Linked DNA regions of Tamandua tetradactyla. The protein of the gene in region 3 interacts with the protein of the main gene of each other region in a pairwise test. Links are inferred from orthologs where the notes say so. Each region holds a gene or a part of one and is shown on either strand. Other genes may lie near its edges.

The links.
Region 1: the proteins of ubiquitin-conjugating enzyme E2 N (region 3) and RNF103 interact in a two-hybrid assay, tested with the Homo sapiens proteins (3 studies listed by BioGRID and IntAct). The link is inferred for Tamandua tetradactyla from reciprocal best matches to the Homo sapiens genes UBE2N and RNF103.
Region 2: the proteins of ubiquitin-conjugating enzyme E2 N (region 3) and baculoviral IAP repeat-containing protein 3-like interact in a two-hybrid assay, tested with the Homo sapiens proteins (2 studies listed by BioGRID and IntAct). The link is inferred for Tamandua tetradactyla from reciprocal best matches to the Homo sapiens genes UBE2N and BIRC3.
Region 4: the proteins of ubiquitin-conjugating enzyme E2 N (region 3) and LRSAM1 interact in binary tests that used the Homo sapiens proteins (3 or more experiments, as listed by UniProt). The link is inferred for Tamandua tetradactyla from reciprocal best matches to the Homo sapiens genes UBE2N and LRSAM1.

Annotation. Positions count from the first base shown.
Region 1 is NC_135343.1:60,476,431-60,483,744, reverse strand, and holds the start of RNF103 (E3 ubiquitin-protein ligase RNF103), read right to left. Parts: upstream 3,062-7,314; 5' UTR 2,702-3,061; coding exon 2,476-2,701; intron 1,996-2,475; exon of another isoform or gene 1,742-1,995; intron 85-1,741; coding exon 1-84. UniProt on the Homo sapiens protein: Acts as an E2-dependent E3 ubiquitin-protein ligase, probably involved in the ER-associated protein degradation pathway.
Region 2 is NC_135334.1:40,516,803-40,524,179, reverse strand, and holds the start of baculoviral IAP repeat-containing protein 3-like, read left to right. Parts: upstream 1-4,259; 5' UTR 4,260-4,442; coding exon 4,443-5,289; intron 5,290-5,397; coding exon 5,398-5,497; intron 5,498-5,838; exon of another isoform or gene 5,839-5,880; intron 5,881-7,377. UniProt on the Homo sapiens protein: Multi-functional protein which regulates not only caspases and apoptosis, but also modulates inflammatory signaling and immunity, mitogenic kinase signaling and cell proliferation, as well as cell invasion and metastasis.
Region 3 is NC_135333.1:162,831,384-162,838,842, forward strand, and holds the start of ubiquitin-conjugating enzyme E2 N, read right to left. Parts: upstream 3,086-7,459; 5' UTR 2,723-3,085; coding exon 2,633-2,722; intron 1-2,632. UniProt on the Homo sapiens protein: The UBE2V1-UBE2N and UBE2V2-UBE2N heterodimers catalyze the synthesis of non-canonical 'Lys-63'-linked polyubiquitin chains. This type of polyubiquitination does not lead to protein degradation by the proteasome.
Region 4 is NC_135328.1:50,259,230-50,267,163, forward strand, and holds the start of LRSAM1 (E3 ubiquitin-protein ligase LRSAM1), read left to right. Parts: upstream 1-4,625; 5' UTR 4,626-5,035; coding exon of another isoform or gene 5,036-5,072; 5' UTR 5,073-5,103; coding exon 5,104-5,305; intron 5,306-5,680; coding exon 5,681-5,854; intron 5,855-7,540; coding exon 7,541-7,617; exon of another isoform or gene 7,618-7,627; intron 7,628-7,934. Other genes in the region: ZNF79 (zinc finger protein 79), read left to right, coding at 1-235; RPL12 (large ribosomal subunit protein uL11), read right to left, coding at 1,583-1,588, 1,748-1,860, 2,131-2,217, 2,866-2,947, 3,367-3,465, 4,378-4,451, 5,036-5,072.

The DNA.
Region 1 (7,314 bases), on a different chromosome or scaffold from region 3:
CACCACTGAAATTGGTACTAGAAACGGATTCAGATGCTTCTTCTTCCTTGAGAGCAGAATAGAGCTCACCCTCCATCAAGTCACCTGAAGAAAGGCAAAAATAACACAAATTATTAGATTTCAGACAGGTAAAATATACAAAAATCCCACTTTCCCAACTTCAACAATTAATTCCATACTTTACTGATTAGAATAGTGCCAATGTATTCTATAGGAAAGAATAGCAGAACCTAAATACATCCATGTAAGATTTATATATACTATAAATATATAAGAAGAAGTTATAAAGTGTCAGGCAAAAGTAGGAAAAAAAAACACATAAAAATCTATCTCTTCGTTGAGCTTACATTCTAGTGGGCTCATCATACTTTAATTGGGAAATTACTGAATTTGTACCAGTCCAAAAAAAATCAGAAATTAAAACTTTAGTTTTGAATATAACATGTCCTGGCTTCAAATAATTTTTAAACAGTATAATTCATGTACTTCTGACTTAAAAGATTGAGAATTCGGTTTACACAGAATTTGCCATCAGCAGAGCTTAAAATATTAAGAGGGCTTATATGACTTGGAGGTTAGAACTTTCTTAGAACAAACTTCGTATCTACACACAAATTTATACTATAAATTTAGAGCTTGTATCATCAAGCAAAGAGGAAAGGTAAGCAGTAATGTTAAATTTTCTAACTTCTGCCTTAAACACAATGAGAAATCAAGCACAGTATCATCAGAGCAAATTCATTTACAATGAACACTTAAGTTTACAGTTATCGTGCCAACCAACTCTTCTCTGCTATAAAATGTGTGATCTGAGTCCTATTTTGGGGATCTGTGGGTACTCTTTAGATTATATGCAGAACCCCTGTATATTCAAAAGTGACAAGTACTTTTAGCCTCCCCCAGAGAGCAACATTAAGTAAAATAATTAAAAGTCAAAAATTTTAAAATGTTAATTAAAAGTCAAAATTTAAAAAATGTGTGGTCAAATGATTTTACCATGAAAAATGGTTTGGCTTTGGAAGTTGAAGACATCTGTAAAGCTAGAGAGTTTATTTATTATAGATCTTTTACCTTAGTTGCTCCATTTATTTTCCCTGTGGTAGAAATAAAAGTCACCACAGACCAGTCAGTAAACAAGGTACAAGAATAATATACCATCCTATATTTTCTCTAAAGAACAAATTATCACTTTTGTAGAAAAGGTTCCCCGACTCCGTCCCAGTAAGACGAGTTTCATAATCCTGAACATACAGATATGCGAGTGTTGAGCTCCTCTGGAGTTACACTCTTACAACTCTAACTGGTTATAAATAAGGGAAAGAATTATCTTGTAAAAGACACAGAGTGGACAAATATACTTGAAACAACAAAAAAGATAACCATCAGTTTCAAGTGCTTGCTACAGCAAGGCAGAGCATCCTTCTCAAATTACAGCATGCTCCCCTTCCAGGAAGCATATCTAAACATATACTTTGTCTAGGAGGAAAAAAATTAACCTTATTTCTCACCCAACCCTACCCAACCAACAGTTATTGAAAATGTGTCCCTTAAGAGATTATATATTATATCAGAGATAATTCAACTCTATTCCCCAACCCATTTAAGTTGGTGCAGCAGTGCCTGTAACATAGAAGGAAAAAAAAAATTTACTTCCAAGAATCAAAAAATATGTTTTTAATCCTGACGGAGATATCAAAACAAAGCAAAACAACAGAGACTAGCATTTACACAAAATGCTCACCTTATTTCCACCAAAGCATGAAAAGCTATTGCTGGACTGGGTACACCGTATCTTTGTCTGCCCTCACTACAGGAAATGTAAGTATTATTTTTACCTATACTACCTTAGGCCTCTTTGATATTAAGTACTCCAGTGACATTTTCCCCTCTGGGTAGGGTGCAATTACTATGGGAGCAAATCTATGCAACGTTTTGGCGTTTTCCTCTTCCCATCCATCCACTGGACTCAGAACAGTTTGCAACTGGGTGATACTCCTGAATTTTGAGAAAATCACACAAGTAAACAACGCTAAGAAGCCGCACTTTATCCTGTTCCTTAAAAAAAATAACCTGAAAAAATACACACGAACACCCATGCCAACAAGGCTTCCTGATTTCGGAAACCCTCCAGGGCACCAGCCGCCCTAGGACACGCAGGACATGCGGGGTACGGGGATTCAAGGGTGCCGGGATGCGGGAGTGTCAGGGAGAGGGTCTGAGAGTAGGGGTGTGGGGGTGGTGGAGTGGTAGGGCTCCAGACGTCGAGGTGTAGGGGCGTGGGGATGTTGGGGTTTCTGGAGAGTCGGGATCTCGGGGTGTGGGAGTGCCAGGTGTCAGGATCATGGGGTGTACTGGGTCGGGATCCCTGGGGGTCGGGGTCCCGGGGTGTGGGGGTGCCGGGTTGGAGGCCTGGGGCCCGGGGGTGGCAGGGTCCTGGGGTGTGGGAGTGCCCAGCCGCCCCGCGCCACTACTCGCCTGACTTCTGCACCAGCGCCCGCACGTCCTTCTTCTCGGGCAGCCCCGAATAGCCCAGCCCCCGGCACTCCAGAATGGTCCTCAGCTTCCGGAAACTCAGCGCCACAGGGTCCACCAGCTGCGTGGCGAACAGGCCCGTCTCGTACCACACGACGGCCTCGAACACTCTGGCCAGTACGAAGAGCACCAGGAAGTAGAGCAGCAGGAAAAAGAGCTTCAGCCACATCTTCCTGGCGTCTCCCCGCTCCCCAGGGAGACCCGGGCGCGGCCCGCGGCACAGGAGCCGGCAGCGGGTGCTGCCGCGCGGGGAGCGGCGGGGAAGGGGCGCGGCTGTGCGGCGCTGGGCCTTCAGTCAGGGGGCGCGGGCCGCAGGGCGCAGAGGGTCAGAGGGCCCCATGCGCTCGACCAGGCCGGGATCGCTGGGCGCGGCAAGGCGTCCGCGGGGAGGCGGTTGGGGCGAGGGGCCCGGCTCCCGCGGCGGCGGCGGCGGCTCAGGAAGGACGCAGTGCTCGGCCCCGCTCCCAGGCCCCGCCAGCCGCCCCGGTTCCTCGAGAAGCGCGGCAGGCACGGTGGCGGCCGCTCCGGGGCGCCTGGGTAGCTCAGGCGGGAGGGCGCCGCGATCCCGCGGGGGAGGGGACGGCGCGGCCTCGGCGGATTGGGGTCAGGCGCGCGGGGCGACAGCGCCGACGGAGGCACGCACAAGCAGGCCCCGCTCCGTCCCACGCGGCCGGTTCTCTGGCTATCTCCGGGCCACGCAGCGCCCGCCACCCCCGCCGTGTTCCCAGGCCGCAGCCGCGGTCCCCCGAGCAGTGGCTCAGCCGCGGCGGCGGCGGCGGCCGGAGGAGACATAACAACTGACGTCGGCGGGGGGCGGGGCCGCGTGCCGGGGGCGGGGCCGGAGGCGGAGCCGCCAGGGCGGGGCGGGGCGGCACCTAGAAGGGGCTCCCTCTGGTGCTGGGGCAGAGGAAATGGGGGTGGGATGGGGAATCTGGCTTGTGTGGGGGTGTCTGACTTGGCTGTTAGGAGCTGGGGGGAATGGGGGTTTGGTTTGCTTTCCCACAACTTCAAAAGTTGCTGCTCCATTGTCTTTTCCACTTTCTTCCCTTTTTCCCTGTAGGTGTTTAGTAATTGATTTTTTCTGAGGATTGGAATTTGGACTGTGTCACACTGTGTATTTTGTGTGTGTGTAAAAACAGCAGTTAATTATCCCTTTAAAGTAGGTGAAAACAGAAGTGAGTTGTTTATGCTGAATCCTCGTGAAATGGGAAAATTGGGGCACATTTAGTGTGAGATGGTAGAAGGTGAAACTCAGAAACTAGATGTTTCTACATCTAACTCAGAATATAGCTTGTGTGTGTGTGTTGCAGGAGGTTGGCTGAAAGGCAAGTTAGGTCTGGGCCCAGTTGCCCTATTTGTCATCTTATAACCCTCACCTCCACTCACTCCAGCCTCGGGAGTCTTAAAGGCCAGGTATAATAGCTCTGAGTTTCTAGGGCAAAGGTTGTTGAGCATTGATATGCGCAAAATTACGTGTGTTTTCTTTCCTTATCCATCCTGAGTGTGGGCTCCACCACCAAAAGAACTTATATAAAATGAGTAATATGGACAGGCATGTAGTGCTTGGTTCTGTATGTGTTTAACCCAATAGAACATATTCTTTATGCCAACCTCTGTGCCCATTTCGAGAGAAGGGAGAGTTGGGTGTGTAAGCTGCACAAGGTGGGTTTTTACCAGCCCTCCAGATCATGAAGGGAAAACTCTGGAATTACCAGAGAAAAGTTAGCTATTGTGCAAAACTGTCAACTATCCTAAGTAGGGGTGAACATTTTAGGGAGAAGGTGTGATTCTCAATCTTGGAGGAAATAAGGAAAGAAAGGACCTCAGAATGGCATACCTTTAGAATAAAGCCACAGAGACATGTCCGCAAGCCTTAGGAGGGGTAGGCAGGGGAAAGAATCAGAGGAGGAGGTGTAGGAATGTACAACCAGCTCTTGGCCCCTGCTTCTGTGTTTTAACTAGCCCCAATGTGGCTTTGTTTCCAGAGCTGACAGATCAACGTGGGTGGCTGTATTCAAATTTCAATCCTTGGGCATGTCACAGTGACCATGCCACTGGACAAGATGGCTGTCGAAACCCTGACTTATATCCCTCACCTCAAAGGTATGTTCTGGCCCTTGGGGAGAGACTGACCCAAACTCTAATAGTATCAGGGCGGGGAGAGGGGAAGGGATGGCGGGCATGACCTGAGGATGGAACCAGCTGGTCCCAGACTTCCAAATTGGAAAAAATTAACGTGGGAGGGACTAAAAGGAAGGGAATAAAGAACTTTTGTGTTTCTTGTAATGCCTCCTGTCTCAAATCCCCAACCTTGTTCCTCTCATGGTTTAATTCTTAAGAAATATAAAAGCACTGGTAAAAGTGGTAGGACTAAATATGAAATCACTAAATATGAATTTCACGTCTGAAATACAGCCTTTCAAGACGTGGTTTGCACTGTGAGCAGAAGCCCCTCTGACATATGTGCTCTTTGGCACGTGATCCTTCTTTCGGGAACTTATCCTAAGGATATGATTGGACATATCCTTATGGACATATGTACAAGCTGTATTACACAGTTTTGTTGCTGTAAATGTAATAATTACAATAGAAAAACGAATCCAAATATCTAGCCTTGGAGTATTGGACAAATACAGTAATGCAAATGATGGACTGTTATGCAGGCACTAAAAAGAAAGATGTAGATATATGGTTATAGACATAGAATCATGTCCAAAAAATAGTGTTTGGTAAAAAATGCAAGTTCCTGAGAAGTTTGCATGATATGATCCTATTTTTGTTTTTCTACTAGCCAAAAATCAGTGATGTACACAGTAAAATGTTATCTGTATTTATCACTAGGTGAAAGGATTTGGAAGATTTATTTTTTCCTTTTGGGCTTTGTCTCTATTATTTTTCTGAAACAATTATGCATCACTCATGTAATTTTAAAATGTGTTAAAAAATAATAATGAAACATCCACCAAGGCTGCTTTCCCATTCTTGCGTTCTAGCAGCAGGGGTCCGTCTTCTGGGATTTCAAGGGTGTCTGGGATTGGGGGCGTGGGCTGTTCTCCCCTGAGAGTGATTTCAGCCTTCACTTATGCCTCCCTGGGCAGATTCATTAGAATTGTTATTCAAACACCAGGCTGACAAAAGAACCTTTGAATTATTTATCGATTTTCATAATCTGTTTTCTTTAAAGCTAGGCTATTAATCTGGGTTCTTGGTTTTATATCTCAGATTCTGTTCATTTGTGGCTTAAATTCCTTAACATATGCTATTGAAGCAAGAGCATGCAACAGTAATTGAAGAGCCTGGTCTAGCGTGAACTAGTACTAGCTGCGTGACCTTGTTGGAACTCACTAGAGCTCTCTGAACTTCATTTTTATCATCTATGAAATGAGATAGTATGTATGCCCCGGGAGCCTGTTGCAAGGATTAAACAAGAAAGTAAATGTGTAAAGTACTTCAGAACAGACCTGTTGCTTGTATTTAACTTAAAATGAAAAATTAAGTTTAGGGAAAAAGAAAGTAAACATCTTTGGCTGATCTTGACGAAACAGGACAATTTTATTTAGGGTTCAAAGAGAACTTTCTTTTTATTTTATTTTTATCAAAGTATAACACTTGCGTACTTTAAAAAATCAAATAACACTTGACAGCTTCATCCAAACTTGGGCAATTTTAAAAGTCAAAGAGACAACCATAGTAAAATTATACCAATCTGTCGAGGATAAACTGGGACTGTCCCCAAACCAATTCTACTTATCATTGAAAACATGTCCCCGGCTGAACCCTCCCCACCCCCAACTGCCATCCCTCAAAGGCAACAGCCTTCAATTCTTTTAAGCATTTTTCTCATTTTCACCTTTATACTTCCAGAGAATAAGTTTCTACAGCTTTACCCAATTGCTATTCCTCAAAGGCAACGGCCTTCAATTCTTTTAAGCATTTTTCTCATTTTCACCTTTATACTTCCAAAGAATAAGTTTCTACAGCTTTTCTGGGCTTTTCCATTTTATAGATCATCCATTGACTTCTTGTGGAAGATGAAGAATTATCTCTTTTACACCCTCCTTTCACATAGCACTTCCTTCCCCACATTCCAAACATGAGTATATTAATATCCCTTTTTATATTAATGCAATCATATAAATCTTGTTCATGGCTGAACCATATCATTTGTATTTCCTTTCATGTGCAATTGTTCATTTTCCTTGGAGTTAATAATTAACTCAAATTTTGGTTTCTTATTCCCTGTGTACTTTCTCATCCCCGAATTCTCTGTCTAAAGTATAAAGCTACTCAAAACAGCTGCTATCAGTTCCCTTTTGTCTTTTTTCCTCCTGCTCTGGATGGACTTATTACTTGCCAAACTGACTGCACAGCTGCCATCCTGGAACTTCCTTTCACGTCTCTTTTATGTGGGCTCCCTGTTTTCTGGATCCCATGTTTGCACTTCGTCCATTCACTTCCTTGTTTGCATGCAAACAGTGGCTTCTAAGAAAGTGGGCATAGGATATAAATTTTGGAGACCTTATGTGTATTAAAACACTCTTATCTTTTTTGTTTTGCTTTGTTTTTTGTTTTTCAGGCTTAGAGAAATCTGCACGAATATTGTAAAAAAAAACTCTAAGTGCTTCATCAACACTAGCATTTTTTGCTATATTTGCTTTCCCCCATCCTTTGTATATATATATATATATATATATATATATATATATATATATATGTATGTATATGCAAAATAGATTTTTCCCTTGAACCATTTCAGAGTCAATTGCACTTGCCATAACATTT
Region 2 (7,377 bases), on a different chromosome or scaffold from region 3:
TTAGAGAAGCCAAGGGAGGAGATCATTTCTAAGAAGAAGTGGGTCCCAGTGTCAGATGCAAAAATTTCCGTTGATTTGGCAAACAATTAACTGGTGTCATTAATACAGTTTCAAATGGTGCTGGCTAAAGCAAATTGTAGTGGCTTAAAGAATAAATAGGAGGGGGGAAAAGTGGACACCTTAACAACAGTTTGGTTCAGTTTGCTTTTGGCTATGAAAGGAAGGTTACATACCAGATCGTGGCTAGAGTGGAAAGTGGGGTTCACAGAGGAAATTTTTGTTTGTTTTCATTTTAAAGCTGAAACAGACTTATGCATGATTGTCATGCTGTGAGAAGAGAGATAGTAGAGAATGAGTTGAAGACATGAGGGAGATGGGGTTAAGAGCAATATTTCTGAGGAGTGAGAGAAGACAGGATCCCATAATGGAACAAGAGTCTGAGGCAGCAAGTATACTGTGAGCTAGAAAGACATGGATATGACATTGTGAAAGGACACTGCTCAAAGATGTTTCTTTGAGAAACAGAAGGCAAAGCAATCAGTTGAAGGTGAGGGGGAGTGTAGAGACATTTGAAGAACGGGCTGATGGTTTAGAAGAGTGGCATAAGGCAACTCTTATGGGCTAGGGAGCTGATTAGGGCAAAGTAGAATTGCTGAAGGATGATGAAGGGCCAGCCCAGGGGGAGTCCCATTCTGCAGGGTGTGGCTGTTCACCAGCTGACTTGGAAGCCTAGGTGTTAGAAATGGTTAAGACAGAAGGTTGAATTGATCGAGGGTTGGCATCTTGACACATTTTTGGTATATTTATTGTATATTTGCTGCCTACCATTTTTACAAATACATGCTTTGTTTCCACACCAAATCTTCTTTAGGGTAAGAGCTATGTAAAGGGTTTGCATACTCAAATGCATAAGAGGCCAGACAGGTGATATGCACAAAACTGTGTGTTTCTCTTTTAAACAGAATCATACTTTGTTTATGTAGTTAACCTGAAGGGATTGTCTCCATTTCCATAAAGATGTGGTTCTCTCTTATTTTTGTCAAAACCTGTGTCTCTCATGGTCTAGCATTCGTTTTTGTGACTCTTCATAAACACGGGTATTAGAACAATTTCACCTCTCTCTCAATTCTGTATAAGAAAAATAATAGTGCCAGTCCAGTAATAAATGGCAACTGATAGCCTAAATATTAGGTGGTCAAAATACAGTGAGAAACTGGAGAATGGTCTGTCTGAGGGGTCTAGCCACTACTCAATTCTAGCCAATTGGCATCATGCAGGAATTTGGTCCAGTGTTGCCAGACCTTCTGATTTTTCAAAAGAAGCTTGAAATCTAGAATTTTATGGGTAACTTATTACTTTTAAAAATTAAAACATTAAAAAATGTATTTGGAAAACTGGTGAAATTCAAATAAAGCACAATAGACTAATTAACAGCATTGTATAAATATTAGCTAACTAGTGTTTCTAGATGGTAGTTTATGTAACCTTAACTTTGGGGAAGCTGGTTATAAGCTATGCAGGAACTCTGCATCAAGTTTTCTCCAGGTCTAAAGTAGTTTCAAAATAGTTAAAAATTAGTAACATACTGTTGTCCATTTCTGTGCAAAGTGAACATATCTCTACTGGCCACCAATTAGAGACCTTGTGTCTTTGTCTGGGATTTCTTCTCACCTATAGTTCTTAGAACAGTACCTTGTACTTCATAGACAATCAGTAAATACTAGTGCTCTATTTTGAAGAAAATGTTTTTTTAAAAAAATCATTGTGTCATATTTCATGGACTGACTTTTAAAACTTTTGTTTTTTTAACAGGTTTTACCAGAGAGGAGAACTGTTCTACTACTAGATTGTTTTCAATTTCTTCTATAATTAAGAATATCTCAAAATGGAGGCCTAAAACCCATAAAAGGGACTTAGTCTAATCTCCGGGAGGTAGTTTTGTGCATGAATGAAAAAAACTTAAGTAGTTGACTTAATTTGGTTTACAAAGAATGTAATTTTTTAAATGAGTTATTTATATGAAGTATAACTATAAAGTAATGAATTTGATTTTGTATTTGATTTGTGGAAGTAAAGGAGAAGTGATTGTAGCTGGAGCATATTATTAAAGCATTCATTTAAAATTTGGGTAAGCAGTCTTCCACTGGCTGCACTGTGTAATAGAAAAAAAGCACCTGTATTTGGTAAAGATTTAAAAATGAGCGGCCATTATCTAGAACAAAGAGTTAATATTAAACCCTCTGTTAAATTAGACAAATATGCAAATAAGGCCTCTGACAGGTTAAAAGATTTCTATGATGGCAAAGAATGTCAAGTACAAAATTTTTTGAGAGGTATAAAAATTTAGAGAAAGCTGGAAAGATAAACATGATAGTTGAAGAAATTACTCAATCACATGAGCACTGATAATATTGAAAGTCTAAAATTCTGTTTGTTTAAATTGCTGAGAATGATGAGAATGAGAACAATGTCTGGGTGGTTAAATTTTGGTAAGGGAACAAACTTAACCAGAAAGAAAGTTTACACAAAGACAATGATGAATACAGGGGTATTTTAGCACAATGTAAAATGTTTGACTAACTGAAGAAATAATGAAGTTAGACACAATGATTCCTCCTGGGAATCACAACTGGTAATGAGATAATGTTTCTCTTGCTATCTGGACACAAAGCATTGAAGTCTGCAGTAGAAAACCTCAACATCTGTGACAGCCAGGAAACCATGCTGGCAAATCACTGGTGGAAAAGCAAACAGTTTATTGGTTATTGCTGGTATTACCGTAGACTACCTGTTTACTAACGGCTAGTTAGGCATAACCGAGAAATTCTGAATTTTGAAAAGGGCTCAGCTGTTCAGAAGAAGGGGATTGTGGTAAAGTAAATTTATTAATTTTTGTAATGACATATTCTGGGTCAAAGTTTACTATCTGTGAACTAATATCTAACCAAGTTTCTGTGAAGTAATTTCTAGTCAAAACCAAATCTGCGCAATTTGATTATCCATTTTAGCCTAAAGACTACACATTCTATGACTTTTGACTGCTTTAAAAATAAATTCGTTATCAGAGTAGAATATTTGATGTTAGCAAATTAGAAAAATTAGACATTTAGAAAAGCAAAGTTCAAAAATGTACATGGTAGACATTGTGCAATGTGTGGTTTGAGCAGGTGATGTAAGGGAATAACTCTACAAAGTTAGTTCTTTGAGAGGGACAACAATTAAAAATCTTTAAAAGTCTCATTATTTTAAAGCCATATTTAATTATCTTAAGCAACGTGATAAAATGATTTTTCTAACCAAGGGAACATTATATCATGATTCCGTTTTTCCAAAATAATCTGAATTTAAGATTCAATTTAAATTGCATATATTGATAGTTTGTGGCAGAATCTCCATTTGCACCACCTGTTGTCTATATGATTATAAGAAAAACTGTCAGTTTTAATCAAGTGTACCATTAGAATGAAAAACAAAAACAGCTGACTTGCCTTAACAGCATGAAGTTGGATCCAAAAGACTAATTGAGCAAAATACATTCATTTCTGATGATTTTTTTAAATAGAATTTTTACTTTACCAAGACCTAATGGTATCATGAGGACTAAGGAGTCAAGTTCCTTATATATGAAGTAGTTTTAATTTTTAGTTTATTTTAGTTTTAAACTTTAATTTTCCCTATTAAAAGAATTGAGGGAGGAGAAAGTATCTAATTATCTAAGCTGTCACTTTCAGATACACTATTATTTTATGTGCCTCTAAGAAATAATGGGAATTAAAATATGAATATACCATTAATTGTAAGAAGCCTCTCAATAACGGGGATATTAAAACATGTTTTAGAAGTGATGAAATATGGTAATGTATTCTTTTGAGGTAAGTCTTAGGCTTTTTTTCTGGCTACCAAGTTTAACAGTCTACAAAAACTAAAATAAACATAACTTCAACATTTTTGTTGTAGAACACTTGTGGAGCATAGCTTTCCACCATGAAAAGAAGCTAGCTACATGAGTCAGATATTTTATCTTTAGGTTGGCTGAATGCCCCTGAAGCACTTTAGTGGCCTGAAAAGTTGACCTGCCTATGAGATGCTTGATATTGATATTGGTATTCTGATGACCTAAAACACTCCCCCTTCAACAAAGGGTTTTTAATTTCCATCACAAGCTACCATGTAGCATCATGTTTACATGTGTATATGTATATATAAAGATTATACAAAGGAACAGTTGTGCATAATTGTCCCTTTAAAGTATATGTCCCTTTAAAGTATAAGTATAGGATTTAGAATCTTGCCATGCTGAAACTCTAAATTTATAGAAGAAAAAGAATGATTTCACATTCTAGGCATTCAACCTTGTACTGAAACTAACAAAATCAAAAGCCATGCACAAAACTACCTCCCCAGAGAAAGGCTAGTCCCTTTTCCTCCCCATCCAATTCACCATGAACATAGTAGAAAAAAGCACATTCTTATCAAATTTGATGAAAAGTGCCAACACGTTTGAACTGAAATATGACTTTTCATGTGAATTGTACCGAATGTCTACATATTCGACTTTCCCCACGGGCGTTCCTATCTCAGAAAGGAGCCTTGCTCGTGCTGGTTTTTATTACACTGGTGTGAATGACAAGGTCAAATGCTTCTGCTGTGGCCTGATGCTGGATAACTGGAAAAAAGGAGACAATGCTATTGAAAAGCATAAAAACTTGTATCCTAGCTGTAGCTTTATTCAGAAACTATGTTCAGTTAACAGCCTGGGAGCCACCTCACAGTCTTTCCCTCCTTCAGTAAATTCTATACATTCATTACTACCAAGTTTGGAAAACAGTGGATATTTCAGTGGCTCTTATTCAAGCTTTCCATCAAATCCTGTAAATTTCAGAGCAAATCAAGATTTTCTTGCCTCAAGACAAAGCTCTTACAGTTGGGCAATGCATACCGAAAAAGCGAGATTACTTACTTACCAGATGTGGCCATTGAGCTTTCTGTCACCAGCAGACCTGGCAAAAGCAGGCTTTTACTATATAGGACCTGGAGACAGAGTGGCTTGCTTTGCCTGTGGTGGAAAACTGAGCAACTGGGAACCAAAGGATGATGCTATGGCAGAACATCTGAGACATTTCCCAAGCTGTCCGTTTTTAGAAAATCAGCTTCGAGAAACTTTGAGACACACAGTTTCTAATTTGAGCATGCAGACACATGCAGCCCGTTTTAAAACATTCTTGAACTGGCCATCTAATGTCCTAGTCCATCCTGAGCAGCTTGCAAGTGCTGGTTTTTATTATATGGGTAAGAAACTTAATCTGATAATAATAAAAATGTTCAATACATTTTAGCTTATAAATTTTAGTGGGCAAGCTATATGTGCTTGTAAGTTCTCCTCCAAATTAATTTTAGGACACAGTGATGATGTTAAGTGTTTTTGCTGCGATGGTGGACTGAGGTGCTGGGAATCTGGAGATGATCCATGGGTGGAACATGCCAAGTGGTTTCCAAGGTAATTGTTTTGAAATTCTCTGCAAATTTTTGTTAGTCTCAAGGGATGGGTTCCATTTGTCTACTTTACAATTAAATGGCTGTTACTTTATTTTGTCTTTATTTTGAAAATACATTTGTGAATAAATTTTTGAATGAATTACTTAGAAATAGATTTAAAAGGTTTTGATGGAAATTAAGGATGAAAAAGAAATAGGTTTAGATTTTGTTTAATTTTTAAAATATATTTTCCAAAGATAAAACATGCTTATTATAAAAACACAGTCATACATTTTAGAAAAGTACAAGGGAAAAAAAATAAAATTGTCCCCAAATCCTACCACCTAAAGATGATCATTTTTACCGTTTGACTGAACATCCCTCCAGACATCTGTGCCTATGTACCTATGTAGATAAATGAATACAATTTGACATAAAAATGAGATATAATGTTTTGAAAATTTTTTCAGTCAATATTATATCCTGGATATATTTCCAGTCTTTTAACATAATTAATTGAACATCTATTGCCAGGCCTGCTCTAGGTGCATAAACTATACCAGTTGAATAAACAGAGACTTGGTCTCATACACATGTTTTATAGCAGGGGAGAGAAGACATTTAATAAAAATGTAATGAGTTACGTAGCATATTAAAAGATAAATATTTGGGGGGGGGAAACGGAGAGCAGGTTAAAGGGGATAAGGAGTGTCAGGAAAGTTGCAATATTAATTAGGGTGGTCAGGGTAAATACAGACCCACCTAATCTGTTTTAATCACTATGTAGAACTTTTTGTCATGTCTTATACTTTCGAGGATCTCACTCTTTTGCACTCTTTTTTCATCTAATTCAATGATCTTTAATTACATTTTTCATGGTCAAAACTTTTATTATTATTGAATGTTGATTATGAAACTTGCTATCATATTTTCATTATACATATCTTTACATAGTACTCTATCTTCATTTCTAGCATCTTTGTGCTCCCCAAATATTGCAGATTTTAAAAATTATGAAGATTGTAAGGAACACTTATGTAGTTCTTTGAAAGTTATGCTAGCTTTCCACTGTGGTAATTTTGTGAATATACAAATGTAAATTTGAAAATATGCTTTGATACTATCATGAATTTGTTTGATGCTCTAATATGACAACAAGTATATATTATCTAGGAATTGACAAACTTGTGACTATCTTATTAGAATATGACTTTTTTTTGTCTCTTGTTCCTCTCGCATGTTCTCTGCTCTCAAATCTATAATGGAGATGAACCGTGTCACTTATCAGAGAGCTGCTACATGTCTGTTTTTAAAGTCTTTCTTCAGAGCATTTTTAGGAATCTTAGAGAAGAGCTGAAGAGAGCAGTTAGGGGTTCTGAGTGGCAAACTGCCAAGGTTGAAGTAAGAAAAGGGTCATGAGGCTCCCAGTCTACTGTACTGGGTGTCATACTGTAAGGCTGTCATAAATCAGAGGTATATGTGTGCATGAGTGGGTCACAAGCACTCACCATTTAAGGGCTTTTGTCTCAATTCCAAAGGAAATAAACCAATTAATCAAAAGCATTAACTGAATGGATGCTATTTCTGGCCCAGTAAGTCATTGCTGTTGACTCTGAGGTAATTGCAAATGAGAAAGAAAACACCAAAAATAGATTTATAAGCTTAAAATTAGATTAAAATGAGCATTCATATTTTTTCTATTTTGAAAACATTTACTTTTAGTTTTTAAAATTTTTATCATTACAATGTATTTAAATTAGAGATTAGAATTTAAAAAGAACCAGTTGAAGTTGAGGATATGGAAAAAAAATACTAAAGGGAAAAAAGGCTGTAATTTCCAAAAGTAAAACTTTAAAAAAAGTAAAAAAGGATTTTATTTATGAAGAGGGAAGAATATTATCT
Region 3 (7,459 bases):
TTCCAAAAGCAATGAAATCAGACAGTCTTGGTTCAAATTACAGCTCCACAAACTTACTGTAACTCTAAACAAGTTACTTAAACCCTCCATGCGGGTTTCCACATTTGTAAAATAGGCTAATACTAATAGCCACATGAAAGGATTGATGGTAGGATTTAATAAATTAATTACTACCTGTAACATGCTTGGACTGATGCCTCATAAACAGTAAGTGATCAATAAAATATATTTATTATTTACTTTAATAAAAAATTGTATGACCAACCTCACTTAAAGAATAGTCAGGGAGGGCCATGGTGGCTCAGCAGGCAGAATTCTTGCCTGCCACGCTGGAGACCCCAGTTCGTTCCCAGTGCCTGCCCACACACACAAAAAGAAACAGTTGCCATACCGGGCATTCTGGTGATTATGATTCACAGACTAAGTTTGAATTTAATGACCCTAGTCATTAAATAAGGCATTATTCATCACATTTATTTCAGGACTACACCATGCACTTTCTCTCTCCCTTCCAGCATTTACACCTGTTATTCCCAAAACTTACTCTTCCTCATCTTGACCTAGACAACTCCTACTCTTCAAGTTAAAAGAGAAAAAGAAAAAAAAAAAAAAGTTATATCCCCAACAAATACCTTTCCTTCATCCTTATCCCCAAGACAACATTCCTGCATTACTCTGCACTTCCTTTCTCATAATGCAACACCTCACTATAATTTGTTTCACAACTATATTTCCCATTAAGACTATGAACTCCACTTAGATGGATGTGTTGGTTTGAAAGTGTTGTATACCCCAGAAAAGCCATGTCCTTTAATCGTGACCCAATATTGGAATGGAAACCCTTGATTAGGTTGTTTCAGTGGCAGACTGACCCATTCAATTGTGGGTGTGGTCTTTGATTAGATTACTTCTGTGGAGATGTGGCCACCCAAATGTAAGGGTGGACTTTTGATTAGTTGGAGAAGTGACTCCAGCCATTCAAGCTGAGTCTTGATTAGTTTGCTAATGTCCTTTAAAAGGGGAAACATTTTGGAGAAACCTCAGATAAGACAGTTGCTTCAGAGGCTACAGAGACACAGACATTAGGAGATGCCTGGAGTGCCAACAGAGAGAGCAGATGCCTAGACATGGACTAGTATGGAGATACAGAGTCCAGCAGATGTCACAATGTGCCTTCCTATGAGATGCTAAGCAAGCCAGGACGCAGAGCTGTGGCCCAGAAGAGTTAAGTGAAGGCCCACAGATGCTTAGGGGAAACCACTGACATCAGAAGCTGAAGCAGTGGAACTGGAACAAGGATCTGCCTTTCCATGTGGCAGACATGGCCTTCCTTGAGTCAAGGTATCTTTATCTGGATGCCTTAGTTAGTAGATTTTTAGGGACTTAGAACTGTAATCTTGAAATTTAACAAATTCCCTTTTAAAAAGCCATTCCATTTCAGGTACACTGCACTCCAGCAGTACAAACAAATACAATGGGATACTGATCTTAGTCACCTGGCTTAGTGCTGGATATATACATGATGCACTCAATACATGTGCTTTTAGCTGAACTGAAACACATTTTATGTACGGATAACAAAAGAGCAGACAACTCTCCCAATATCTAAGAAAACTAAAATTTAGCCTCAGACTCTTACACTTATAAAGCCATCTTTACCACGGCCCTAGTATTAGACTGGAAGGTGAGGCAGGGGAGGGCAAGTAGTAAAAAATCCCTATCATCCTTAAGAGTCACAAAAAACATAGCAATTTACTGAAATAACATTGTTGTCACTGTGCTGGTTTGAAAGGATGTATGTCCCCTAGAAAACACGTTTTAATCAAAATCCCATTTCGTAAAGGCAGAATAATCCTTATTCAATACTGTATGTTTGAATCTGTAATCAGATCAGCTCCTTGGAGATGTGATTTAATCAAGAGTGGTTGTTAAGCTGGATTAGGTGACATGTCTCCACCCACATGGGTGGGTTCTGAGAAGTTTCTGGAGTCCTATAAAAGAAGAATCATTTTGTAGAATAAGAGATTCAGAGAGAGCAAAGCAGAACAACACAGCCATGAGAAGCAGAGTCCACCAGCCAGAGACCTTTGGAAATGAAGAAGGAAAATGCCTCCCAGGGGGCTTCATGAAACAGGAAGCCAGGAGAAACTAGCAGATGATGCTGTGTTCACCACGTGCCCTTCCAGATGAGAGAGGAACCCTGACCGTGTTCACCATGTGCCTTTCCAGATGGGAGAGAAACTCTGTGTTTGCCATGTGCCCTTCCACTTGAGAGAGAAACTGAACTTCATCAGCCTTCTTGAACCAAGGTATCTCTCCCTGGATGCCTTAGATTGGACATTTCTATAGACTTGTTTTAATTGGGATATTTTCTCGGCCTTAGAATTGTAAACTAGTAACTTACTAAATTCCCCTTTATAAAAGCCATTCCATTTCTAGTATATTGCATTCTGGCAACTAGCAAACTAGAACATTGTTGTTGTTTATCCATTCATCTGTTGATTGACACTTGGGCTGTTCCCCCCTTTGACTACTGTGAATAATGCTGCTATGAACACTGGTGTATAAGAATCTGCTTAGGGTATATACCTAAGGGTAGAAATGCCAGATCATAATGTAATTCTGTATTTACCTTTTTGAGGAACCACGAAACTGTTTTTCCACAGGAGTTACACCATTTTACTTCATCACTAGCGATGAATGAAAGTACCAAGTTCTCCATACTCTTACCAATACTTGTTATTTTCTGGAAAGATTTTTCATAATTTTATTAAGACACTGATTATCAAAGTGTGGTAAATAGGCCAGGAGCATGAATATTATCTGGGAACTTATGAGAAACTTTTATGTCCCACCCCAGATCAACTGACTCAAACTCTGGTGGGGTTCAGCAATCCATACTTTTTTTGTTTAACTTTTTTTTTTTAATTAAGAAGTTGTAGGTTACAGAAATATCAGGCAGAAAAAAAAACAAGTTTTTATATTCTCCCCCACGCAGTTTTCCCTATTAACATTTTACATTAATGTGATACCTATGTAACAATGATGAAAAACAATACTGTTATAATTATACTATTAACTATAGTCCATAGTTTACATTAGAATTCACACAGTTTACATTAGAGTTGTGTGGTAATATTCTATGTTTTTTTTAATTTTTATAATAATAACATATATACAACCTAAAATTTCCCGATTTACCCATGCAAATATGTAATCTAGTAGTGTTAATTAAATTCACAATGTTGTCCTACCATTACCACCATCTATTACCAAAACTATTTCATCACCCAAACCAATTAATCATTTAATTCCCAATCCTCATTCCCACCCAGGGTCCTAGTTTCTGGCTCTATGAATATGCTTATTCTATTCTTTGATATCTCACTGGTGGTCTCTTAGAGTCACAAAAAAGCAACACTGAAATAACACTTTCTTAAGCATAAACTATAAGGAAATTTAAGAAAGTTGTGAAGAAATAAAAACCACCTAAAGTCACATGGCACAACGATTATGTTTTATGTTATACAGTATTACTGTATAACAGGCTTAACAAGCCTTCTATCCCTAGGTCATAAGGACTATGTAAATACAAAACAATTTGTCCAAAACAGACCAAACTCCTGATACAGACTTGAATGTAGTAGCATGTAGACTAAAGGAGTTCAAAAATATGAAGATGAAAAAGCCAAGTATAAAAAAAAAGCACAATGTGATATGTCAACGCTAGATTATGAAAAGAATGTCTAAAAGTACTTTAAATTACAGCCATATCCCAATTATTTAGAAGCATCTGAGCTACAAGTCAATTCATGAATTATAAAAATTATTATGCCTAAATACCCTTACGGGATTTTAGAATAGCTTCATCCAGGATCTTAACAAATAACAATGACCCAAATGGTCACTGGAAGTAGTTCTTGGAAGAACGGATAATAAGAATTCTTTCTGTTGACTCTCTGAGGGCCACTGCTAATTATTCAATTATTCAAACCATGCAATAAGTTTCTGCCACCAGAAACGATACGGCAAAAATTCTCAATCCCCGGGATGAACATGATCCTACATCCTATTCAATCCACAAATTAAAGATAACTGTATTTAATACTTCGCCCAAAAAAAATCTCCATTTGGGAAGCATCTTTTAAAGTTGCTGAGTTTTTAATTGAACCTAGTTGGTCAAACACTACTCCTTGCAAATAAAATTTCAACTCTAATTATCAGTCCAACTCAATTTAATCTTTCATACAAAATAAGAATTATTAATAAATTACTATATACATATTATGCCAAATTTATTTTGTTTTAGAAAGTAATACTGTATAACATAAAGCAATTATTAATTAAGTACCTATACCAGAACTGTGATAACTATAATTGTAATGTCCAAAGCCTGATGACTGCTGTAGTAGTTGGGTTCAGGTGTCAACTTGGCCAGGCGGTGGTGCCCAGTTGTTTCGTGGCTGTGGACATAAATCAGCAGCCTGTGAAATTCATCTATGATTCATCACATCTGCAAAGGCAAAGAGGAAGTGCCTTCTGCAATGAATGATGTTTAATTCAGTTAGCTGGGAGCTTGAGAGGTCAGAAGAGAAGGAGCTCAACACAATCCAGCACAATCCAGCTGAGAGTTCAAATCCAGACATTTGGAGATGCAGAAAGGAACTGTACTGTGGAAAGCCATTTGAACCCAGAAGCTCAGAGAGAAGGCCAGCAGATGTCACTGTGTGCCTGCCCCCATGTTACACAGAGAGTCAGAGGAAAGCCAGCTACCTTTCCTCTGTAAATTTGTAACTAAATAAATCACCTTTATAAAAACCAGTCCATTTCTGGTGTGCTGCATTCCAGCAGCATTAACAAACAGTTGCTCTCTTCCTTTCCCTGTTTATCTTTCTATAGAGCATTTATATACATAATCCATGATAAGAGATTTAAATGTAAGTTCAGAATCTAAACCTTGAATATATAGTGTAACCTGTTTTCTTTTTAAATCCATTATGCACAGGTAAACTACAAGGTATGGGGGATGGAGTGGGGGGAGAAAATGTACTGATTAGCAAGGCAGAAATCCTGACCTTGTAACTTATTGGCCTACAGATTTCACTAAGAGAAAGAAAAAGAAGGAAAAGTCCTCCAATGTAAAAAATTCTATGATTGTAATAAGCGTGGTCACAAGTATGGAAAAACTCACAACTTCAGCAAAGCAAACACATAACATTTCTGATGTTATTGTCATTCATACACTACTAGATCTATGGGAGTATTTGATGAACTGACAAAATTCAGTTTCAACTGTGTGGGAATCAATCAACTGGGGCTGTAAGGAAGATCCTTTAACAGTGCTTGACCCAGAGAAGCTTAAAATATACTCAATTGACTATTTCTAACTAAATTTTATTATGCTCATATATTTCATAATCAAAACATTAGGTATTACATTAAATAGCATCTTTATAGCCTGAAACTTCAATCCCTATCAAAAGTAGTTCAGGGATTCTTAACCTGGAGCCCATGGAGCCCTAGGAGATCCAAAAATAAGCTTGGCAAAAACCTGAATCGCCAGAAATCATATTGGAAAAAAGAAACATGGTTTGGGTGGTGCAACAGTGGCTCAGCGGCAGAATTCTCGTCTGCCATGCTTGAAACCCAGGTTCAATTCCCAGAGCCTGCCCACGCCAAAAAAAACCCCACATGGTTTATTTTCCTGGGAAGGAGGTCCAGATCTTTCAAAAAATGTTTAAATGGGTACCACCACCCCCCCACACACACACACAAAGTTAAGAACCACTATCTATTCAAATTTTACTATAATAGTTTATCTGTTTCCAAAGAAGAACTTTAATTACAATTTATAAGTTAAGTCTCTCTTCAACACAGTAAGTTCTTCATATCCCTTAATGGGAAAAAATACATATATCAATCAAAGATTTTCAGGGCTTCAAAAAAGTGTCAGCTTTCTGAATCACTTTTCTTACTATAGTATCTTACACACTAGACTACAGATCAAATGAGTGACTTGTAAATGTGATAGAAAAAAGTGATGTCTATATGTTTAAAAGTCATAATTACTAAAGTGTAAACAGAACTCAGGTCTCAATGAAAATTAGATCATATCAGATTTTTAAGAATTTGAAACTGAACCACACTAAACAAAAAAAAAAAAGTAAATTTTAGGGTGGACAATAGTAGCTCAGTGGGAGAATTCTCACCTGCCATGCTGGAGACCCAGGTTCTATTCCCCAAGTCTGCCCATGCCAAAAAAAAAAACCAAATTTTAGGAAAGACTGGCAAAATGCTAGTATTTACAGACTGGCTAGCTAAGTTTTAATCAAATGAATTTACTCCTTGAGTAAGTTAACTACTGTTTCCTAAGGCTATATTTTACAGTTTTCCTGATTATTCTTATGAAGGGGAGAGGAAAAGGCCTAATTGTTGTAAATGCACTAATTCTCTGGAAGGATACATAAAAAACAGGTAATAGTGGTTGCATGGGAAGGGGAACTAGAATGTTGAGGGACATATGAGGGAAACTTACTTTTTTCTCTATACACCCCTTAGAATTCTTCAAATATTCTGCTGTATGTATGTTATGTTCTAATTAACAAAACAAGGAATTGATTTTTTTACCAAACTTATAGGTAGAATAAAAGACTAATTTTTCAAATATTGCTTTAAGTTCAGACATTGGTATCAACTCCAACTGTCTACTAAACAGTACCAACATCAAGTTATTATATAGCATATCAACTCTTCTAAAACTTTTTTCCAAAGAGATTAAAACTCATCCATCATTCAATTAATAAATATTTCAGTGCCTACTATGTGCCAAGAATTGTTCCAGACATTAAGAGAAATGCCCAAGACCCCTGAAAGTCCCTGCCTTTATGGAGCTTCAGTGGTGAAGAAATAGGTAACTTCTGAGTAATGATAAAAAGTGTTATAAAGAAAAGTGTTACATACGGAGATAAAGAGAAACTATGGGGTGCAGGGAGGCAGAGGTATTGGGGGAGGGATTGCTGTGTTTTAGACAGGGCAGTCAAGGTAGACCTGAGCATCTTACATGTAAGCCAAGAAATGAATGAAATGACAAAGCAATCAGTGCAATAAAGAGGAGAAAGGCCCTGTGACATAAACAAGCTTAGCTATTTATTACTGTTCAGGGAACAGCAAACAAACGGTAAGCTGCAGTAGAGTGCATCAAGGAGAGAAGTGCAGGAGGTGCACTCACAGGTAGGAAGATCCCAGATTTACCTGACGCTTTGTAGTCAGGATTAAAAAGAGCCAAGGTTTTACTCTAAATGTAATGGGGAACTTTTGTAGAGTTCTGAGCAGGTAGTGCCATGATCTGTATTTTTAAATATAACACTAGCTGTTGCTTAGGAGGCTAATATGGAAGCCCAGGAAATAAATGATGGTGAAATTGGACGACAGTGGTTTGAGAGAAATGGAGAAACATGCA
Region 4 (7,934 bases), on a different chromosome or scaffold from region 3:
GTGTGGCAAATTCTTCAGTGAGAGCTCAGCTCTCATTCGCCATCATATAATTCACACTGGAGAAAAACCCTATGAGTGTAATGAGTGTGGAAAAGCATTTAATCAGAGTTCATCCCTTAGTCAGCATCAAAGAATTCACACTGGTATCAAACCCTATGAATGTAGTGATTGTGGGAAGGCCTTCAGGTGTAGTTCAGCCTTCATTAGACATCAGAGACTCCACAGTGGAGACTGATTATGAACATAATAAAAAGGAGAGAAAACCTCAGACATCTCAGTAAATCAATATGCCAGGGGACCTGATAAATGCAGATGATTTGAGAGCAACACCTGAGGACATCTAACTTTATAGTCTAGCCCAAGCCACATGCAAAAAAAAACCTTTAATAAATGCTTAGTCATTTTACATATTGCATATGGCATTCAGTGAGCATCAAAGAATTTAGGGAATCTAACAACCCAGCTGAAATTTCATCCAACTTTACAGATTTACCTTTTTTCAGACTGAATGGGTTAAAGAATGCTTTTGATGTAGCAAGCACTCCAGAAAACAGTAAGAGAAGTTCCTATATAAAGACCAGTATTTAGGCAACATTTGTAAAACTTTCCTTTTAATATCGAGGGCTGTTCCAGAAGGCTGAGTTTCTACTACCAAGAAAATGCAAGTGGAGATTCTAGGGCTATTAGATTATCTTATCTCAAAGGGGGGAAATCAAGATACAGCTGCCACCCAGGAAAGCACTGCTGAATCCCTACTTTGTGAATTGTTAGACTAGGTCTAGGATTTGTTACCCTTCTAAGAAAAAACAGAGCAAAGCTGAGGATAAAGCAGGGAGGGCTAAGAAAGCCCAAGAACGAGACCTATAATAAGGTGAGTGGATGTTAACTGCACCATTCTTGTCATGCACTTCAGGAAATTCAGAATTTTATCACTGGCAGGCTTCCTTCTGTACACTGACTTGGAGACCCACCGTCTGGTGAACTCCCCATCAGCAATGTCCATGCTTCCCTGGTTTCAGAGATGCTCTCCACATTTATTGGTCTTGTGCTATAAAAGAGGCTGGTTGCTGGGATGCTTATTCCCCCAAATCTTAACCCAGTTCTCAGGCAGACCTTTCCATAAGTCTCAACCCTATCTGCCTACTAGACCACCTGGGGTGACTGACTATGGTTACAACATTGGTTCTGAACCAGGCCAAAGCTTAGAATGGGTTAACAAGGCATTAACCATTTCCTCCAACCTACCCACAGATTCTAGTGCCTGGGAGGGAGAGGTTCCCTACATGTTTATGGTTGAAATACAGGTTTTCCTTTTGTCCCCTAATTAAAGAGCTCCATAAATACTGAAATTAAACAAGAAGCACTAGCTTCCTTTTTCTATGTATACTTTCTCATCTTCTAAGCAGGCAGAATTTGTTACCTGCAGAGCTCACTGCTCAGATTGTCACTCCTCCACAGGTTCTGCCACCTGGCCCATCAACCACCCCCAAAGAAGCTAACTTCCCCCAAGAAAGATACATCAAATAAGCAAGTCTATTGGCTGCCAAATGATCTTTTATTGAAATATTTTCCTTTGAAGTTCTTAACTCTGCAGGAAAGAAAAAAAAAACAACCCTATCAGTAATAATACAAAAAGTATCCCCCACACCTGTAGAACTTTCCAACTTCCATCCATGAACGTTAGCCCCTACCCTGCACCAAGGGCTTTCAACCCCCATTTTGACCAAATGAAACTGATGTCACTTACAGATGGGCATTCCACAGCACCACTGTTGATATCATCTATGATGTCATGAGGGTGGCGGCCATCCACATTGCAACCCACTGACTGGGCAGTCCCCAGGATCTCTTTAATGGTTCCTGTAAAAATTGAGAAAAGCTGCTATTAAGAGGAGTTCTCAGTTCCACAGTCCTAAGGAACATACTTCGTTCTGCAGTAAGCAGAAGGACAAATAGTCTTTGTGGGTACCAGGAATGACATCTCTAATCCTAAAGCTCTTGTTTCCATCTAGTTACATAAGCCCCTTGAGCTACCTAATTAAACACATCCAGCCATGATCTTAAAAGCCATCCTTTCAAACCTAATAAGGCACCACACCTCACTTTTGAACAAAAGAATTGTCCTCTTACCAGAGAGTTCTCTAGCTAAAGATCGGTGCCGCATCTGTCGGGCAATGTTGACAATTTCATCAAAAGTGATATTTCCACTGTGCTTAACTGTAGAAAATAAACACACCAGAAGCTTTATCACAACTCAAAGAGAAAACCATATTATGTCCAGGCTGTTCCCATGCTTTCGGCACAGAGTCATCCACATGAAGAACAACCCTGTTTCCTAAGCTGGGATTTAGTATCAGCTCACCACTGGATTGCACCAGCCAACAGAGAACTGGTCAGGTGCAGTGGCGGGTGGCTAAGGGCAAAATCAAGTCTTTGCTAATCTGACATGGAAGAGACTTTATTTCTCTTCTAGAGTCCAGAAAAAACAGGCTCAAGTTACTGGGGTTAAACTGTTCAATGTCACCCAGCTGGGAAAGTCTCCTGACTAAATATTCTCAATTGCCTCACCCCACAACTAATTGCCCAGACCAGGCAATGATGCTCAGGCCTGAGGTTTCCCTCTTTCGTGGAAGCTTCATGGAGTATGACCTACTCTACCTGGATCAGGGGCTGGGAAAGCAACATGACACTATGCTGGTGTGCCTGGCTGTGAAAGCCTACACCAAATCACCCAATTCCCATGACCACCCAGGGTTTCACGGGGCATGGGTGGGTGGGAGGGGGTGGGCAGAAGACCTGTTGTCACTGGATACACAACAATCACAAAACACAACTAAAAAGAATACAGGGGAAAAGGCAACTCACTGTTTTTCTGCTTCTTCCTGTCTCTGGGTGGTTCCTTAAGGGCTTTGATGATCAGGGCAGAGGCAGAAGGTACCACCTCAATCTGCATAAGAAGATTCTCTACTTAAGTCCCACCCCACCTCCAATGACTGCCAGACTACAGACCAACCATGGAGCCTTCACAGTTGGAGTCATCCTGATTGCCTCCTATGGTTACACAATAACAAAAATTAATATTGAAACCTTGGTCTTTGCTCTAAGGCCCATGCTCTTGAAAAGGTCTTCCCACAAAGATTGTTATCCTTTTACTTGTAATTATAGGGTATGGTTTTTCCATCACTTCACTCCTGCCATGTGTGAGCCTGAGTTTTAATTCACCACCACCACAGCAGCTGCCTCTTATGGCTAGGGACAGGGCTGCTCTCAGTTCACCACTGATGACAAGTGCCTGGGTCAGCAAAAATCAGGACCCCATAAGACTGCTCCCTCTCTCCCTCCCCAAAACCAAGTACAAGTAAATACCTGGGCCTGTCTGTTCTGAATTGTCAGTTTCACCGTAATCCTTAGACCTTTCCAGTCACCAGTTGCCTTGGCAATGTCATCACCAACCTTTTTAGGAGACTGTTGAAATAAAGGTACGTTATCACACTGGGCCTGATGTTCAACCTTAATACCTAGCCAGTATTTCTCACTTGGCAACACCCCAAATCTTTATCCAGCACACAGGAAGCTACATTTGAACCATCTTACCAACCCAATCAAGGCAAATTATCCCCACATTACAGTCACTGGAGGTTAAGCTTGTACACAACCTTAATCTAGAAAGGCTCAGGCTCACAGTGGAGCCCTTTACCTTCTCATAAGAATCCATGTGGTAAAGGAGGGGTTTTCAACCATGGTTACATTAGAACCACCAGTTCTCCTATTAAACCAATCAAGTCAGTCTGCGTTTAGGGGTATCTGGGCATTTGCTACTTTAAAAAATTCCAGTGACCACACAGCCTAAAGAGAAGGGATGTTGGCGGGACCAAGAGCTAATACACTGGGCTAAGCAAGATAGGGCTATTTGGGGAGGAAGAACACTATCCAAAAAATAAAGGCCTAAACATATTCAGGGAAATGTAAATCCAGTACAAGCAGAGTTTCAAATGGAGGGGGCAACAGCCAGATGAGGCTTGTGATCAATAGAGCACAGGTAAAGCCAATCTTATTAACCACGAGGTTTACAACAGTAAACAAAAGTGGAAATACAAGCCACCATATTCACCAGGATCTACACCCAACTGTCCTAACAGTGCTGTCACGAAGCACTCCTGACTCCAAAACTCACTTCTGACTTCCCTCACATCCCTCAGCCCGCAGCAGTTGTACACACGTGTAAAGTAAATTACCAACTTCAAGGTAGCGGCCTGGACGTTCAAACATACCCTTTCTGGTACTAGCACCCATTCTTCAGGGGTCTGGTCAGGAGCCAACAAACGAACCAAATGATGCCGGCACGAGACCTTAATCCTCCCCCAGAAAACGACTTACCAGACCGAGGGGACCGATCTTGGGGGCCAGGGCAGACGTGGCACCGACTTCCCCACCGGTGCACCTAAGGTACACTGGGAGAAATAAAGAATTAGGGCCCATGCAAAGATATCCCCCGACTGCATCTTCCCGGGGGCTGTTGCCATCACCCTTCGCCGCTTCTCCAAACAGCACAAGCGTGTCGGTCCGGACTGAGGCAAGCCCCACCCCCGCCCCGGCGAGCCGCGCGTTACACCTTGAGCGTGGGCAGAAAAATCGGGCGCCACGTGGGGCAGCGGCCTTGGTTCAGCTACCCCGGCTGAGCCCCGAACTGGGCCGGCATGAGGGAACCCCCGGCCTCCAGTGAACCCAGTCCAGGAGAGCAGAAGAGCCCGAAGACAAACCTTACCCTAAGATGTGCGGGCTGCAAACCCGTCTCAGGTCGTCCGGTCCTCCCTCCCCATTTATGGGGGAGCTGAGACCCAGAAAGGGTAAGAGACTCGGCAGGACAGCACAGCGCTCTGAGCGCAGAAACGGAGGCTCCCGATAGGCCTCTAGGAGGCGACGGCTATAGAGCCCGACATGGAAAAGGCAAACACGGCAAAGGCCGCAGGCCCGACGGGCTGTGGTGAAGAGGGATGCTCCACCCCGCAGCCCCGGCCACATCTAGAACACGCACCGACTTTGATTTCGTTGGGGTCGAACTTGGGCGGCATGGTGGAGGCAGCTGGTGTCGGATGAACCCGGATGCGGGACGACCGAAGAAAGTTGCACCCTGGCCTCCTCCGAGCCAAAAGGCCGGAAATCAACCCGAGCACGCCAAATATAGGCGGAAAAACGCAACTCTCGCGAGAACAGTCGTACTGCTCATCTTCCCAGCGATGCCCTGGCTGCCATATTGCTTGTGGGCAGGCGCCTGAGGCTGACAGCTGGAGAGCCAGGCACCGCGGTGAGCTGAGCTGTGGCTAGGGACTGGGAGAGGGGTTCGGGGAAGGTCGCCAGTGAGAGAGGCAGACCAGAAGAGCCGCTCCAGGAATCCCAAGCCTCCTTGTTCCCCATTCTCCCTTTCCGCGAGGGTCATCCCCGGGTTCCTGTCCTCCAATCCCAGAGCCTCGCCCCTTTCCTAAGGGGTTCGCGCCCCCGTACCCGGACTGCAGGACCAGCGTTACCCAGAGCCCTCTCCTAATCCTATCGTTATATGTGTGCATTTTAGTTATCAAGATAATTTTATTCGGTCTAAATCTGGTCCAACTCTTAAATTCTGAGAGCCCGCCGTTCTCAGGAGTCTCAGACTTCGTCATTCTGATCTTCACGACTTCCCCAGATTGTGAGTTTCCGTCCCCAGGTCTTGCGTTTGGAGGTGACCGGACTCCTGCTCTGCCGGGGCCTATACCCAGTGGGCTGCGGCTCCGTGTCCATGACCATTCTCTCCGATTGATCGGCCTGGCTTCGGGTCTACCGAAGGTCGGACCACCGGACTTCTCCATCCCAAAGCCAGGTTCGGCACAGTCCCCGCCCCCATCTCCCTAGCCGGGAAGGATGGGTGTGGTCCTACCTCTCTGGGCTAGACGCCGGGAAGGGGTTGGGGAACAGCTGGACCTGGGGTTGCAGGTTGGGAAGAGTTGATTTTTGGAGAGGGGTAGGCACTGGGGAGAAGTTGGAGAGGAGGTGAGGGGGTAAGTCATCAGGGAGTAGGGCGGTTAAAGCTGGTCGTTGGGGAGGTTTGGGGAGAGGATTTTGCAGCAATTCCCCATCCCTACGGGTACCCTGGGGTGACGACGGGGGCGTGAGCCGGCTCTGCAAGCCTGTCTGCCTTTCCAGACAGCCCATGCCCGTATGGGTGGAGAACTGTGATCTCTACCCCTCCCTGTGAGAATGAATTACACATCTTTTTCAGATGCATTACCTGCCTTTTCTCCCTAGCCCCTTAAACTGTAGACCCTGAGTAAGTGTTTGTTAGATGTGTGGTGCTGTGTGGTTACCAATTACTGAGCATTCACTATGTGCCAAGTACTGTGCTTCATATTTAGGAAATCAGTGAATCCTCAAAGCTCCCAGTATTGGTAACATTACTGCTCTCAATTTACAAAGGAAGAAACTGAGGTTCAGAGGGTGTGAACTAAGGTGATATAGTGGGGGGGGTGTGTGTGTGTGGCAGAATTGGGATTCAAATCCAGTTATATTTCATCCTAGAGTCTGTGCTGTTAATCATAAGCTACCCTGATGATGGTTTGCTGGCCCAGCACTATCCTTTATTGAGCACTGACATCTGCAGAATACTGTGCAAGCCTTAGGCAGGCAGTGAGCTGCTTGCTTCTGATTTCAGGACAGTGTATTAGTGTGTGCTGTGTTATTTGAGCACCAATATTTGGGCAAACTCTACAGGGTTAGAGCTCAAAAGGCCAGGGTTCTAGTTGGTTTTGCTGCAATCTAGGCTATATAACCAAATGAAGTCCATGAGCCTCAGTTTCTTTACCTATAAATAGTGCTCTGGTGAAAATCTAATGGAATAATAACTATGAGACTGATAAGTTATCTAAGGGTAGCTTTTTAATTTTTATTTTAATTCAGGATTCTCTTTGGAGAGCTCCCCAAGGTCATGGCTGACTCTGGTTAGTTCTGCTGATACCCCTCTGATGTATCAGGGTACCTTTAGGGATGGGGAGTGGTCACAAACACACCTCTCCCAAACCTCCTTAATGACCAGCTCTAACCTCCCTACTCCCCAGTGGCTCAGAAGTGATTATCAGTCAAGTGTGTTAGCGTCCTTAGAAGTCATCCCTGGAAAGGACCTGAGAAAATGTATCCAGGTCAACACCCTCATCGAAAATGAAGGAGAAATGAGGCCCAGAACAGGGAAAGGGTGTGCCCACAGTCTCATGGTGGGTCAGTGGCAGATGTGGACCAGACCCCAGTTCACCTGGCTGCTGTGGTGGTGCTCCTTTTCCCCTCAGCCTACTGCCTGTTGTTTAGGCAACAGAGTACTGAACACCTGCTGGTCTGGGCTCAGAAGACAGATTGATGGATGAGCTAGACACAGACCCCCTCCTCATAGAACTCACAGCCCAGCCCATCATACACCTGTTCTCTGTGTTCCTGTGTTACCCATCCTGGGAGTTGGGGGTGCTATGTGAATTTCCCCAGGCCCTAACATCTCGTCTGTGGCCTTTTTTCTGGGAAACAGAAAGGATGCCACTCTTCTTCCGAAAGCGGAAACCCAGTGAGGAAGCTCGAAAACGCCTGGAGTACCAGATGTGTCTGGTGAGAGCAAGTGGGTTTCCTCTGACTCCTTCCCCGTCTTTTCCTCTGGCACATGAAACAGGGCTCTGCACTGCACCCAATAAAAGCTATGTTCCCTCCCTACTGCCTCCCCCGCCCCTCAGATTTGGAAGGTTGAATCTCTTATTCTCAGACCAGACCAATGAGGTCCACTGTTAAGTGCTCCTGTTTGTCCAGTTTATCTTTCCTGATGAAACTCAGAGTTGGAAAGCAAGAATCGATGGTCTACCTGCAAAATGAACTGGCTGAACCATATGGTGTCTGTGGTCCCTTATAGCTCCTAATTCTGTATTTCTTTG